3 linked regions of the Callithrix jacchus genome follow. The protein of the gene in region 2 interacts with the protein of the main gene of each other region in a pairwise test. Links are inferred from orthologs where the notes say so. Each region holds a gene or a part of one and is shown on either strand. Other genes may lie near its edges.

Region 1 (4,145 bases), on a different chromosome or scaffold from region 2:
GGTGATACTGCCACCTGCGAGGGCAGGGTGACAGGCCTGGCTTGGGGAGTGTCCTGCTGCCCCCCTTCCCATCCCCTGCTGGGCACAGCAACTCACACTCACCCACAGTCACCTCGCCATCCTGTGGCCGCATCACGAAAAGTCCAATGGGGTCATCGGGGGCTTCAGGGGTGGTGCCGCTGGGAGCTGCTGAGCTTGACCCTGCGAGCAAAGGCTTTGTTTTTTCTTGAGACGGAATCTCACTCTATCCCCCAAGCTGGAGTGCAATGGCTCAGTCTCAGCTCACTTCAACCTCCACCTCCCAGGTTCAAGCGATTCTCCTACCTCAGCCTCCTGAGCTGTGGTTACAGGCATGTGCCACCATGCCCAGCTAATTTTTTGGTAGAGATGGGGTTTCACCATGTTGGCCAGGCTGATCTCAAACTCCTGACCTCAAGTGATCCACCCACCTTGGCCTCCAAAGTACTGGGATTATAAGCCTGAGCCACCTTACCTGGTCAAGCAAAGGCTTTTGAGACCTGCCCCAGACACCCCCTCCCCACAGATTCTGCCCCTCCCTGCCCCTCTCACCTTCAGGACTTGGGGCACTTCCTCCCAGCTCAGCAGCTGGGGCCGGGGCTTCTCCAGGGGCTTGAGTGCCCTCAGCAGGGGAAGGGGCAGGGGCCAGCATGGCCTCTGCCTTCTCTGGAGGGGATTGGATGGGAGTTGTGGTGTAGTCACTAACCAGAGACCCCTCTACACTCTCTCTCCCGAGCATTGGACCCCTGAGCCTGCTGTGAACGAGGAAAGTCCGTCCTGTCTGACCCCCAGTGCCCGGGCCCCTCAGAGGCAGCGCATACTGAGCTGGAGAGCCAGCCTGACTCTCACATTCTCCTCCCTGCCCCCAGCCATCAGTCCCCACATCCGCTGCACCTGCCCCTAACAGCTCCAGGTCCATTCCTGCCCTAGCTCTGCCCCAGCCTTGGAGCAGCCCCTCAGACTGGGCTGTGTGCCTTGTCACCCACACCTCCGGCAGGGCTTCCCTGCTGGCACACAAGGTGTCATCTGTGCCTGGTCATCTCCCCAGGGAGGTCTGCAGGGGGAGGGTGGGGTTGAGTCTTGTTCACCTCTCCCACCTCCAGCATGGCTAGGAGGCCAGGGTGGCATATGGGGGTACTTAGAGAGGTCATGTGCAGAAAAGGGGAAAGGGCGTTCCTGGTGGGGGGTGTGGGGGCACAGCCACAGCAAAGGCAAGAAATTGTGAAAGCACCTCCCGTTCCCTGGATGGATGAAGAAGCACCTCACTGCCCCTCCCCCCAGAAGCCTGAACCTCAGGGAAGGCTGACCAGGATCTTACCTGCTTCTATGACCTTGAGTTCGAACTTGACCTTGGAGGAGCCAGCAATGACTGCGTAGGCCCCTTGGTCAGCAGGTCCCACCTCCCGCACTGTCAGTGTGTGTCGTGTGCCCTCTGCAGCCAGGATGTACTTGTCACTGGCACTGATGTCGCTGCCTCTGTGCTGCCAGCGCACCTTCACTCCTGCCCGCTCTGTCTCGGCCTCGAACACGGCAGGGCCACCTGCTGCCACTTCCACTGACCGTGGCTTCTTGCTGAAAGCTGAGACTGAAGGGCCAGATGGAGGCTACAGCAGCCCCTAGCTGGGGCGTGCACCCCACCCCTGCAGCCCCTTTTAGTAAATACTGTGATAAGCAGTTACCATGCATCCCCTCGTGTAATACTCCTATAGTATTATTACGAGGTAGGTGCAGTTACTCTGTCATTTCTCAGAGGAGGACACTGAGGCTCAGAGAAGCTAAGTGGCTCCTCCAAGATCACACAGCCTATAGTCAGGAGAGCCAGGGCGGTGGTCCTGACCTCCACACAAGACTTTTGTGCTGTGTGTGTCCCCTGGATATGCCACTCTCCCAGCTTGGAGATAGCTGTGAGGAGCCCAGCTCCCCTCCCCCACCATCTGGGGCCCTTGGCGGGGGCAGGGAACTCTGCCTTTTTGGAATGTGGCCAAATTTGTCCTCCAGGGACCTCAGGCTGAGAATCAGCAACTGAGATAAAGCTGGCCTGGGAGGGCACTGGGGAATGGGGACCTGGATCTCTGCCCTGGACAACCTTGGTAAGGGCACGGCCCAGGCCCAGGACCCTGGGCTGTGATTTTCCCTGCCCTTGGCCTGAGTTCAGGGGCTCCTGACTGTCCTCTTTCAGAGAAGAGGGACTGTATCACCCCCAACATGGGGACCACACCATACAGGCTCATGAAGCAGATAATGTCACAACCAGGAGGAACCAACCCACCACCACACCCGCCCCAGTCCCCAGGTTGGGAGACTAAGTCCCAGAGTGGGTGGAGACTCGTCTGAGGGCACCGCGTGAGCCTGGCTGTGCTCCGCATAATTGTGAGCTCTGTCTGCGGGGATCCCTGCTGTGGAAGGAGAAGGAAATGGGGCAGGGATGGTGTCCCTTTGAGTTCTGAGTTGACCCGGCTGCTTCCTATCTTGGCTGTGTCCCCTCTCTGCGTCCCTGACCCTGGGTTTACCTTCACCTCTCATCAGAGGGATGGGAGAAAGAAACTGAGAATCAAAAAAGGACCTAGGAGGACTGGCTGACCCATCCTGGGGCTCAGTGGCCATGTCTTCTTCAGCTCCCTCAAGAACTCCCTCCTAGCCCTGCTCCCCAATTGTAGACACCCCCTGCTCCCACACTTAGACCCAACCGCAGGCCCGGAGCTACCTGGCTTCTTCCCCGGCTCAGGCATCCTGAGAGACGTCACACCAGGCACCAAGCAGGCACAGGCCACCCTAAGAGGGAGTGAGTGGGGTCCTGTCCTTCCCACTATATATGGAGACCTCCCCCCTCCCCAGGCACTGCTTATCTGCCTCTTGTCCAGCCACCTGCTAAATATAGATGAATTCCAGAGAGCTGAGGTCTCTCCAGGGAGATGGTAGGGCCACGCTGTCCCTGGCTGGCTCTTGTTCCTTCCCCCCCCCTACTCCCGAAGCACAATAGAAGGGCTTCTGCCTCCCCAACCCTTGATGAACCTCGGGGGTACCCCAAGCCTTGTGTGTGTCCTGCTCACAGCATATTGTACGGTGGGAGCATGCTTGGCCCATAACCCTGAGGCTGATGGGTCAGCAGCATCCTTGCCAGCGGTTAAGGCAGTGGCCACATCCACAGACCCTGGGGCCAGGCTGCCCCTGAGTCCTGGCACTGCCATCTCTTCTATCTCAAAGCACCTGGTTTCCTCATCTGTAAAGCAGGGCAGGTAACAGCAGCACCCACTGCACAGGATTGTCAACCTATGAAGTGGGTTTATCATTTTTAAAATGCTAGGCTGGGTAGGGTGGCTCATGCCTGCAATTCCAGCACTTTTGGAAGCCAGGCAGGTGGATTGAGGCCAAGTTTTTGAGATCGGCCTGGGCAACATGGCAAAACCCCATCTCTACTAAAAAAATAAAGGCCAAGCGCGGTGGCCCACGCCTGTAATCGGCAGATCGGGCGGATCACGAGGTCAGGAGTTCAGGACCACCCTGGTCAACATGGTGAAACCCCGTCTCTACTAAAAATACAAACATTAGCCGGGCATGGTGGTGCGTACCTATAATCCCAACTACTCAGGAGACTGAGGCAGGAGAACCCCTTGAGCCCGGGAGGCAGAGGTTGCACTGAACCAAGATCATGCCACTGCACTCCAGCCTGGGCAACGGTGTGAGACTCCATCTCAAAAAATTAAATTAAAATAAAATAAATACACACACAGAAATTAGTCAGGTGTGGTGGTGTGCACCTGTAGTACCAGCTATGTAGGAGGCTGAGGTGGGAGGATGGCTTGAGTCCAGGGAGTTCGAGGCTGCAGTGAGCCAAAATCATACCACTGCACTGCAGCCTGGATAATGGAGTAAGACTGTGTCTCAAAAAATAATAATAAAATAAAAATGGGCTGGGCGAAATGGTTCACATTTGTAATCTCAGTACACTGGGAGGCCGAGGCAGGCAGATCACTTATGTTCAGGAGTTCAAGACCAGCCTGGGCAACATGGTGAAACCCCACCTCTACCAAAAATACACAAATCAGCCAGGCATGTGACGCACACTTGTTGTCACAGCTACTTGGGAGGGTGAGGCGGGAGAATCATTTGAGCCCAGGAGGTCAAAC
Region 2 (3,510 bases):
ATTGAATCAGTTTGGAATGAGGAAAAACAGTTGCATTTCTAGCCAGTTCCCAGGATTTGTCCAAGCTGCTGGGTCCATGGACCACACTCTGAGTAGTGAGACTACTGAGGGCAGAAAGGAACTTTCTATCCCTGAAAAAAGCTTCCATGATTTTCCATGTTCACTTGGGTAGGGACCTGGAGATGAGATGAAGGAAAGGGGTCATGATAATTGCTAGTGGATGAAGAGTCAGGTGACGGGTAGGAAGGAGGGGAACGTTGTGATCACCCACAAGATGCTCCCAGTCTGATGAGATGCGATTGTCACAAGCACTTTACAGAAAAGAACTAAGCTGTAACATCTGTGACAGAGAGAAGGGAGCTTCCACTGAGAAGCGTATAGGAAAGGAGCTGTTTTTCCACCTCTCTTAGGAACAAATGATGCAGAGCTTCCCAAATCCAGTCTTGATCCTAAAAGGGAGGGAAGAGTGTGACCTGGGACATATGTGAGGCCCAGGAAACTGAATGGAAGCAAATACATTAATTTGCTGAAGGTCACACAACTAGAAGGGAAACACAGCTAAAAGACAAAAGAAAGCCAGGTGGGGTGGCTCACACCTGTAATCCCAGCACTTTGGGAGGCCAAGGCAGGTGCAACATGAGGTCAGGAGATTGAGACCATCCTGGCTAACACAGTGAAACCCCATCTCTACTAAAAATACAAAAAATTAGCTGGCTGTGGTGGCATGCACCTGTAATCCCAACTACTCGGGAGGCTGAGTCAGGAGAATCACTTGAACCTGGGAGGCGGAGGTTGCAGTGAGCTGAGATTGTGCCACTGCACTCAGCGTGGGTGACAGAGCAAGACTCCATCTCAAAAAAAGAAAAAAAAAAGGCAACAGAGGAAGAGAAGGTAGATCCCACATTGCTGACTGTTGCACTGGTCTGAGAGGTGGTGCTCCAATGACCAGCTGAGGTTGGGGGACAGGGGAAGGGTGCAGTAACAAGGCAGAACATGTTATGTCATGTGACCCTAGGGCCTGTTTTGGAAGAAGGGGCTAGCTGTATTTCAAGGCATTAGCCTCCAAATATCACTGGTGTACTAAGTAGCTGTGAGGCCAGATGAGTGTTTTCTTCTTGTTAAGCCTTTGTTTAATCTTCTGTAATGTGGGGATGTATGTAATGAAATCTCTTCTAGCTTTCAAAATTGCTTGCTACTGTCCCAGGAAGGGAGTGTAGGGGGCAGGGAGTAAGGACCCTACAGAATGTGACTGCAAGACTTCTGTCTTCAGGAGAACAGTCACCAGGTAAAGGAAGAGCTGAGCCAGAAGTTTGACACACTGTACGCCATCCTGGATGAGAAGAAAAGTGAGTTGCTGCAGCGGATCACTCAGGAGCAGGAAGAAAAGCTCAGCTTCATTGAGGCCCTCATCCAGCAGTACCAGGAGCAGCTCGACAAGTCCACGAAGCTGGTGGAGACTGCCATCCAGTCCCTGGACGAGCCTGGGGGAGCCACCTTCCTCTTGGTGAGCAGGACTAGAAGGGTCTGGGTGGAGTCAGTTCAACTCTACAGCTCTAAGTTTCCAGTTAGGCTTCTCTACTGACAACCCATGGACCCTTGGAAAAGTCATTTAAACCCCTCACTTTTCTCATTTGTATGAGAAAATGGGCATGTGACACCCCTACCTTCCTCTTACTGATTTTAGAATGATCAGAGGATGTTTATGAAATGACTTTGTAAGCTGCAAATAGTGTCCCATCTACAGACTATTAATTGAGCCCCTACTGTAGGCCAGGCACAGAGTAGAGGACAAGGAGATAAACCAGACACAGCCCTGCCCTCAAAGAGCTTGTTGGGGAGGACAGAAAAGTCTCAGTTGTAAGACTTCACAGTTCAGGCCGTGCACGGTGGCTCACACCTGTAATCCCAGCACTTTGGGAGGCCGAGGTGGGTGGATCACCTGAGGTTTGCAGTTTGAGACCAGCCTGACTAATATGGTGAAACCCCATCTTTAAAAAAATAAAAGAACAGTCTTCACAGTTCAGTTCAATAAACATTTTCTAAGCTTCTACTGTGGGCCAGGCTTTGTGCTAGACATTAGGTATGAAAAGGTGGTTAGGATTGGGGAGTTCAGGGTTTCAGAGTGTTTGGATTGATACCCCCAGAGTCTAAGCTTCCTGCCAAGACAATGGGAGGGTCCTAGGGTGATGACCAAGTCCTGTGCAGACCATGGACAGAGAGAAAAGTCAAATTCTGCTCAGTTTGGGGTGGGGAGCAGGTCACAACTTGGCTAGGGTAGGGCACCAAATGTCCAACTACAACACCCAGTCGCTGGTTTTGCTGATTTCCTGGAGTCCGCTTCTGTAGTCCTAACCCTTTGTTCTCTCTCCCCCTGCAGACTGCCAAGCAACTCATCAAAAGGTCAGTATCTCCCCAGAGGCTATGATCTAAGCCCCCAGTTCCCAGCATTGCCTCTGTCCAGAAAGCCTTGTCCTGAGCATTAGGTCTGCTGGAGGGTCTCGCTCCAGGCTGGCTTCCCTGACCTTCTGCATCCCTGACTTTTGGGACCACTCATTGTGCTTGAGATTTGAGAGGAAATACTCCATCCCTCCAGGGGAGCCTCAGGGTGGAAGGCCTGGGCGTGGGCAAGGCATGTGCCCTCTCCTCCCTGCGCTGAGCCCCAGAGATCTCACCCAGCCTCTCTCTATGTCTCCCCCACAGCATTGTGGAAGCTTCCAAGGGCTGCCAGTTGGGGAAGACAGAGCAGGGCTTTGAGAACATGGACTGCTTTACTTTGGATTTAGAGTACATAGCAGACGCCCTGAGAGCCATCGACTTTGGGACAGGTAAAGGAGGTGGTGGTGCCACTTGTCTATTTGCCTTCCTGATCCCTGGAAACCAGCATCTCTTCCACTGAACCCCATGGGGAGGCAGATTCACTAATAAACATCCCCAGATATCAATCAAATTCATATAGCCAACTTCTGTGAGGCTGGCTGTGGTGGCTCACGCCTGTAATCCCAGCACTTTGGGAGTCCAAGACAGATGGACCACTTGAGGTCAGGAGTTTGAGACCAGCCTGGCCAACATGGTGAAACCTCCTCTACTAAAAATACAAAAATTAGGCAGACGTGGTGGCACGTGCCTGTAATTCCAGCTATTCAGGAAACCGATGCAGGAGAATCACTTGAATCCAGGAGGTAGGGGTTGCAGTGAGCCAAGATCGTGCCACTGCACTCTAGCCTGGGCAACAGAGCCAGACTCCGTCTCAAAAAAAAATTCATATAGCCAACTTCTAGATGAGCCCAGAGCTAGCACAGTGGCTGGTGCAGAATTTCTGCTCCATAAATTACATATGGATCCATGGCAGGGAGGCCTCTTGGGGCAGTAGAAATAAGGTGGCCTCTGGAATCAGACAGTCTTGAGTTTAAAATCCCGGTTTTGCCACGTGTTTATTATCTGTGTGACCTTTGGCAGGCCCCCTTCTGCCTGAGTTTTATTTTCTAATTTAAAAAATCAGGTTAAAAACAA
Region 3 (4,184 bases), on a different chromosome or scaffold from region 2:
GAGGGGGGAGGCGCTGGGGGCCTGGACTCCTGGGTCTGAGGGAGGAGGGGCTGGGGTCTGGACACCTGGGTCCGAGGGAGGAGGGGCTGCGGCCTGGACTCCTGCGTCTGAGGGAGGAGGGGCTGGGGTCTGGACCCCTGGGTCCGAGGGAGGAGGGACTGGGGTCTGCACTCCTGGGTCCGAGGAGGGAGAGGCTGGAGTCTGCACTCCTGGGTCTGAGGGGGGAGAGGCTGGGGTCTGGACTCCTGGGTCCGAGGGAGGAGGCGCTGAGGGTCTGGACTCCTGGGTCTGAGGGAGGAGGGGCTGGGGTCTGGACTCCTGGGTCCGAGGGAGGAGGGGCTGGGGTCTGGATTCCTGGGTCCGAGGGAGGAGGGGCTGGGGTCTGGACCCCTGGGTCCCAGGGAGGAGGCGCTGAGGGTCTGGACTCCTGGGTCCGAGGGAGGAGGGACTGGGGTCTGGACTCCTGGGTCCGAGGGAGGAGGAGCTGGGCTCTGGATTCCTGGGTCCGAGGGAGGAGGGGCTGGGGTCTGCACTCCTGGGTCTGAGGGAGGAGGGGCTGCGGCCTGGACTCCTGGGTCCGAGGGAGGAGGGGCTGGGATCTGCACTCCTGGGTCCGAGTGGGGAGGGGCTGGGGTCTGCACTCCTGGCTCCGAGGCGGGAGAGGCTGGGGTCTGCACTCCTGGGTCCGAGGGGGGAGAGGCTGGGGTCTGCACTCCTGGCTCCGAGGCGGGAGAGGCTGGGGTCTGCACTCCTGGGTCCGAGGCGGGAGAGGCTGGGGTCTGCACTCCTGGGTCCGAGGGGGAGGGGCTGGGGTCTGCACTCCTGGGTCCGAGGGGGAGGGGCTGGGGTCTGCACTCCTGGGTCCGAGGCGGGAGAGGCTGGGGTCTGCACTCCTGGGTCCGAGGGGGGAGGGGCTGGGGTCTGCACTCCTGGGTCCGAGGGGGGAGGGGCTGGGGTCTGGACTCCTGGGTCCGAGGCGGGAGGGGCTGGGGTCTGGACTCCTGGCTCCGAGGGGGGAGGGGCTGGGGTCTGCACTCCTGGGTCCGAAGGGGGAGAGGCTGGGGTCTGCACTCCTGGGTCCGAGGCGGGAGAGGCTGGGGTCTGCACTCCTGGGTCCGAGGGGGAGGGGCTGGGGTCTGCACTCCTGGGTCCGAGGGGGAGGGGCTGGGGTCTGCACTCCTGGGTCCGAGGCGGGAGAGGCTGGGGTCTGCACTCCTGGGTCCGAGGGGGGAGGGGCTGGGGTCTGCACTCCTGGGTCCGAGGGGGGAGGGGCTGGGGTCTGGACTCCTGGGTCCGAGGCGGGAGGGGCTGGGGTCTGGACTCCTGGCTCCGAGGGGGGAGGGGCTGGGGTCTGCACTCCTGGGTCCGAGGCGGGAGAGGCTGGGGTCTGGACTCCTGGGTCCGAGGGGGGAGGGGCTGGAGTCTGCACTCCTGGGTCCGAAGGGGGAGAGGCTGGGGTCTGCACTCCTGGGTCCGAGGCGGGAGAGGCTGGGGTCTGCACTCCTGGGTCCGAGGGGGGAGGGGCTGGGGTCTGCACTCCTGGCTCCGAGGCGGGAGAGGCCGGGGTCTGGACTCCTGGCTGTCTCAGGAGGACAGGCCCTGGTAGGTGTGGTCTGAGGCACAGCCCGGAGGCTGCAGACCCTGCCCCCCTCAGCACAGCTGTTCTCTTTTGTCTTATGACAAGCCCATGGGAACCTGATCCAGCTGGGATTAGGAGGAGGCATTTGAGAAGGGACAGTGGCCTGAAGACAATAGCTGCCCCACCCCCAGGAGCTATTTTGGGGGGATGTCGTAGATGGTGAAACAGAGGACATTTCCTAAGAAGGGATTTGAGGAAGGGGGGCTTCTGGGAGAGCTGGTCACCTGCATCCCTCTCCCACCCACCCCTCCCGCTGGCTGCTTTCCTCCCCACCTGTCTCCCCTTTCACCTTCCCATACATCACACGGGGCGGGGGGGTTGGGGCAGCGCCCAAAGGGCACCTTCTGTCCACAGACCTCACTCTGACCCCTACATTCTTAGACCCCGAAGTCTTCAAGACATCCTAGGCCACAGGGTGCCCATCCCCAAATCCCAATACCCATGGATTCTGAGACCTGGATTTTTGGTGCCTGTGTTTCTGAGACCACAAGTCCTCACAGCTCCAGATTCTGACAGCCCATTTCCTGATGGTCCACATATGGGCCAGGACATCCTAAGACCTCCTAAATTCTGAAGCCTCGAGAATATGAGACCCCCCCAAAACCTTGATACCCAAACTCGGAGGCCCAAATGATGACGCCCCAGATAATGACACTCCAGGTGGTGATGGTTTCTATCCTAAACCTCAGATTCTGAGGCTTCCACTCCTAAAACCCCAGATTCTGAGACCCCGCCCCAATTCCTGATACCCTCAGAGTCTGAGCCCCAAATCCTGATACCCAGACTGTTTGACCTCCAAGTCCAGATGTCCCTGACTTCTGAGCTTTCCCCCAAGACCCCCAGAACCCCAAGATCTAGGTGGTTTTATTCTGGGACACCCAAGTCCTGGCAGCCCCAGACTAGGATCTCTGTAACCCACAAATCCTAATATTTTCCCCTCTATCCCAAGTCCCCCTAAAGTCCGAGCCTCTCAAGTTCCGAGACCTCCAGTTGTATTCCCCATGTACCTCTGCATGATTTCTCCACACCCCACATCTTCCCCACCTGCCTCCTGCCCCCTCTCCCAAGGACACCGTCCGTGGAGATCACAGGGCCCAGCAGAGCCCCTTACCTATACCTAGGCTGCGTCTGAGATCCTGTGAATCTTGTGGCTGAGCCTCACCACGGGCACTGAAGCTCCAGGGGTTTTATAGCTGGAGGCTGGGCCCCGCCCCGAGGGGAGAGGGAGGAGGAGAGAATTCCTTTGCTCAAACACAAGTCTGGGAGCTCAGAGACAGCCCTGCTGTTCCTCTCGTTTTTCAAACTAAGGGTCCAAATGCCTCCGTGGGCTCCTCCCCAACCCCATCAGCGGGGCCCTGGAGCCCTGCTCCCACCCCCAGCCCCAGGCCCCCACGGTGCTCCAGCTACCTCCCTTATAGCTGCCTCCCTGCATTTGATGTCCCAACGTCCAGCACACAGTAGGTCCTTGGAGAACCTACTAATGACAAAAAGGCTATAAGGAATGTTTCCAGTTTTCCTCTCTGTTCCCTCTTTCTGGACCCGTTTCTGTGGTCTCTGTGGCTCTCCATCTGTGTATCTCTATATGTCTGTCTCTGCTGCTTAGTCTCCCCCTGTGTCTGTCCATCTTTCTGTCTCCCCACCCCCACCCCTTTGTCTGCCACCAGGATTCCATACTTGTGACAACAGGCACTAAAGCCAGGAAGCAGGTGTTGGGGGGAGGGGAGGGGAGGATGGGGTGTCAATTAGGGTGGAAACCTACCCTCTCTCCCCCCGTCCATCTGACACTGATCTTTTTTGGCATCCCCCTCCCTCTTCCCAGCCAAGCCACGACCTTGAACTCCAGGTTCAACCAGCCCTGGAGAGCAGACTTCCTCACCCTTCACGCCTCTCAGTGTCTGTCTCCTGTGGTATCAGTCTTTGTGTGTTTCTATGCATTTTCTGGGGTCCCTCGCTGGCTCTCTGTCTTGGGCTGTCTCTGAATCTGTCTCTTTCCGTGACCCTCAGTGTGTTTCTTGGCAAATGTCTCCAGGTGGTTTTGTCTCTGCATGTCTGCCCCTCTCTGCGTTTGTGTCTGTGGGGGCTCACAGTCTCTCTGTGCATTTCTGTCCACCTGAGACCCCATATCTGTGTGGGTAACCCCTTTCTGGGCACCAAGGAAGGAGAGCTAAGCAGACCCCCGGCACGATTAGTGCCTGAAGAATATCTTACTGCTCACTCCTCACTTATTTCCTTTTATATATAATCTCTTCATAGATAATCATGCCTTAGTTTGTAGTTGGAGGAATGTCTAGAGCAGACACACTGCAGAGCATGAACTAGGGAAAAACAGCCACACCAGGACAAGAATCAATGACCCAGGCGGTAGAGCCCCTGCCTGAAAGGGCAAGCGCTACGTGGCAGGTCTGCCCAGGTGGCAGCGTTCGGGTATGGTAATGACACCCGCTGTATGGCAGGCTTGCAGCAAGAGTCACTCCTCCTGAAAGGGAGTTGTAGTATCTTGTGCAGAGTTCTTGTGGAAAGCTGGCCTCAGGCTGGCAATCCCTCC

Evidence for each region. The genes of interacting proteins can lie anywhere in the genome.
Region 1: the proteins of TRIM63 (region 2) and MYBPC3 interact in a two-hybrid assay, tested with the Homo sapiens proteins (2 studies listed by BioGRID and IntAct). The link is inferred for Callithrix jacchus from reciprocal best matches to the Homo sapiens genes TRIM63 and MYBPC3.
Region 3: the proteins of TRIM63 (region 2) and TNNT1 interact in a two-hybrid assay, tested with the Homo sapiens proteins (2 studies listed by BioGRID and IntAct). The link is inferred for Callithrix jacchus from reciprocal best matches to the Homo sapiens genes TRIM63 and TNNT1.

What each region holds. Positions count from the first base shown.
Region 1 is NC_133511.1:112,407,862-112,412,006, forward strand, and holds the start of MYBPC3 (myosin-binding protein C, cardiac-type), read right to left. Parts: upstream 2,803-4,145; 5' UTR 2,748-2,802; coding exon 2,723-2,747; intron 1,604-2,722; coding exon 1,337-1,603; intron 685-1,336; coding exon 571-684; intron 202-570; coding exon 103-201; intron 15-102; coding exon 1-14. UniProt on the Homo sapiens protein: Thick filament-associated protein located in the crossbridge region of vertebrate striated muscle a bands. In vitro it binds MHC, F-actin and native thin filaments, and modifies the activity of actin-activated myosin ATPase.
Region 2 is NC_133508.1:62,712,437-62,715,946, reverse strand, and holds part of TRIM63 (E3 ubiquitin-protein ligase TRIM63), read left to right. Parts: intron 1-1,270; coding exon 1,271-1,504; intron 1,505-2,377; coding exon 2,378-2,400; intron 2,401-2,700; coding exon 2,701-2,825; intron 2,826-3,510. UniProt on the Homo sapiens protein: E3 ubiquitin ligase. Mediates the ubiquitination and subsequent proteasomal degradation of CKM, GMEB1 and HIBADH.
Region 3 is NC_133523.1:48,010,643-48,014,826, forward strand, and holds the start of TNNT1 (troponin T, slow skeletal muscle), read right to left. Parts: upstream 2,803-4,184; 5' UTR 2,751-2,802; intron 1-2,750. UniProt on the Homo sapiens protein: Troponin T is the tropomyosin-binding subunit of troponin, the thin filament regulatory complex which confers calcium-sensitivity to striated muscle actomyosin ATPase activity.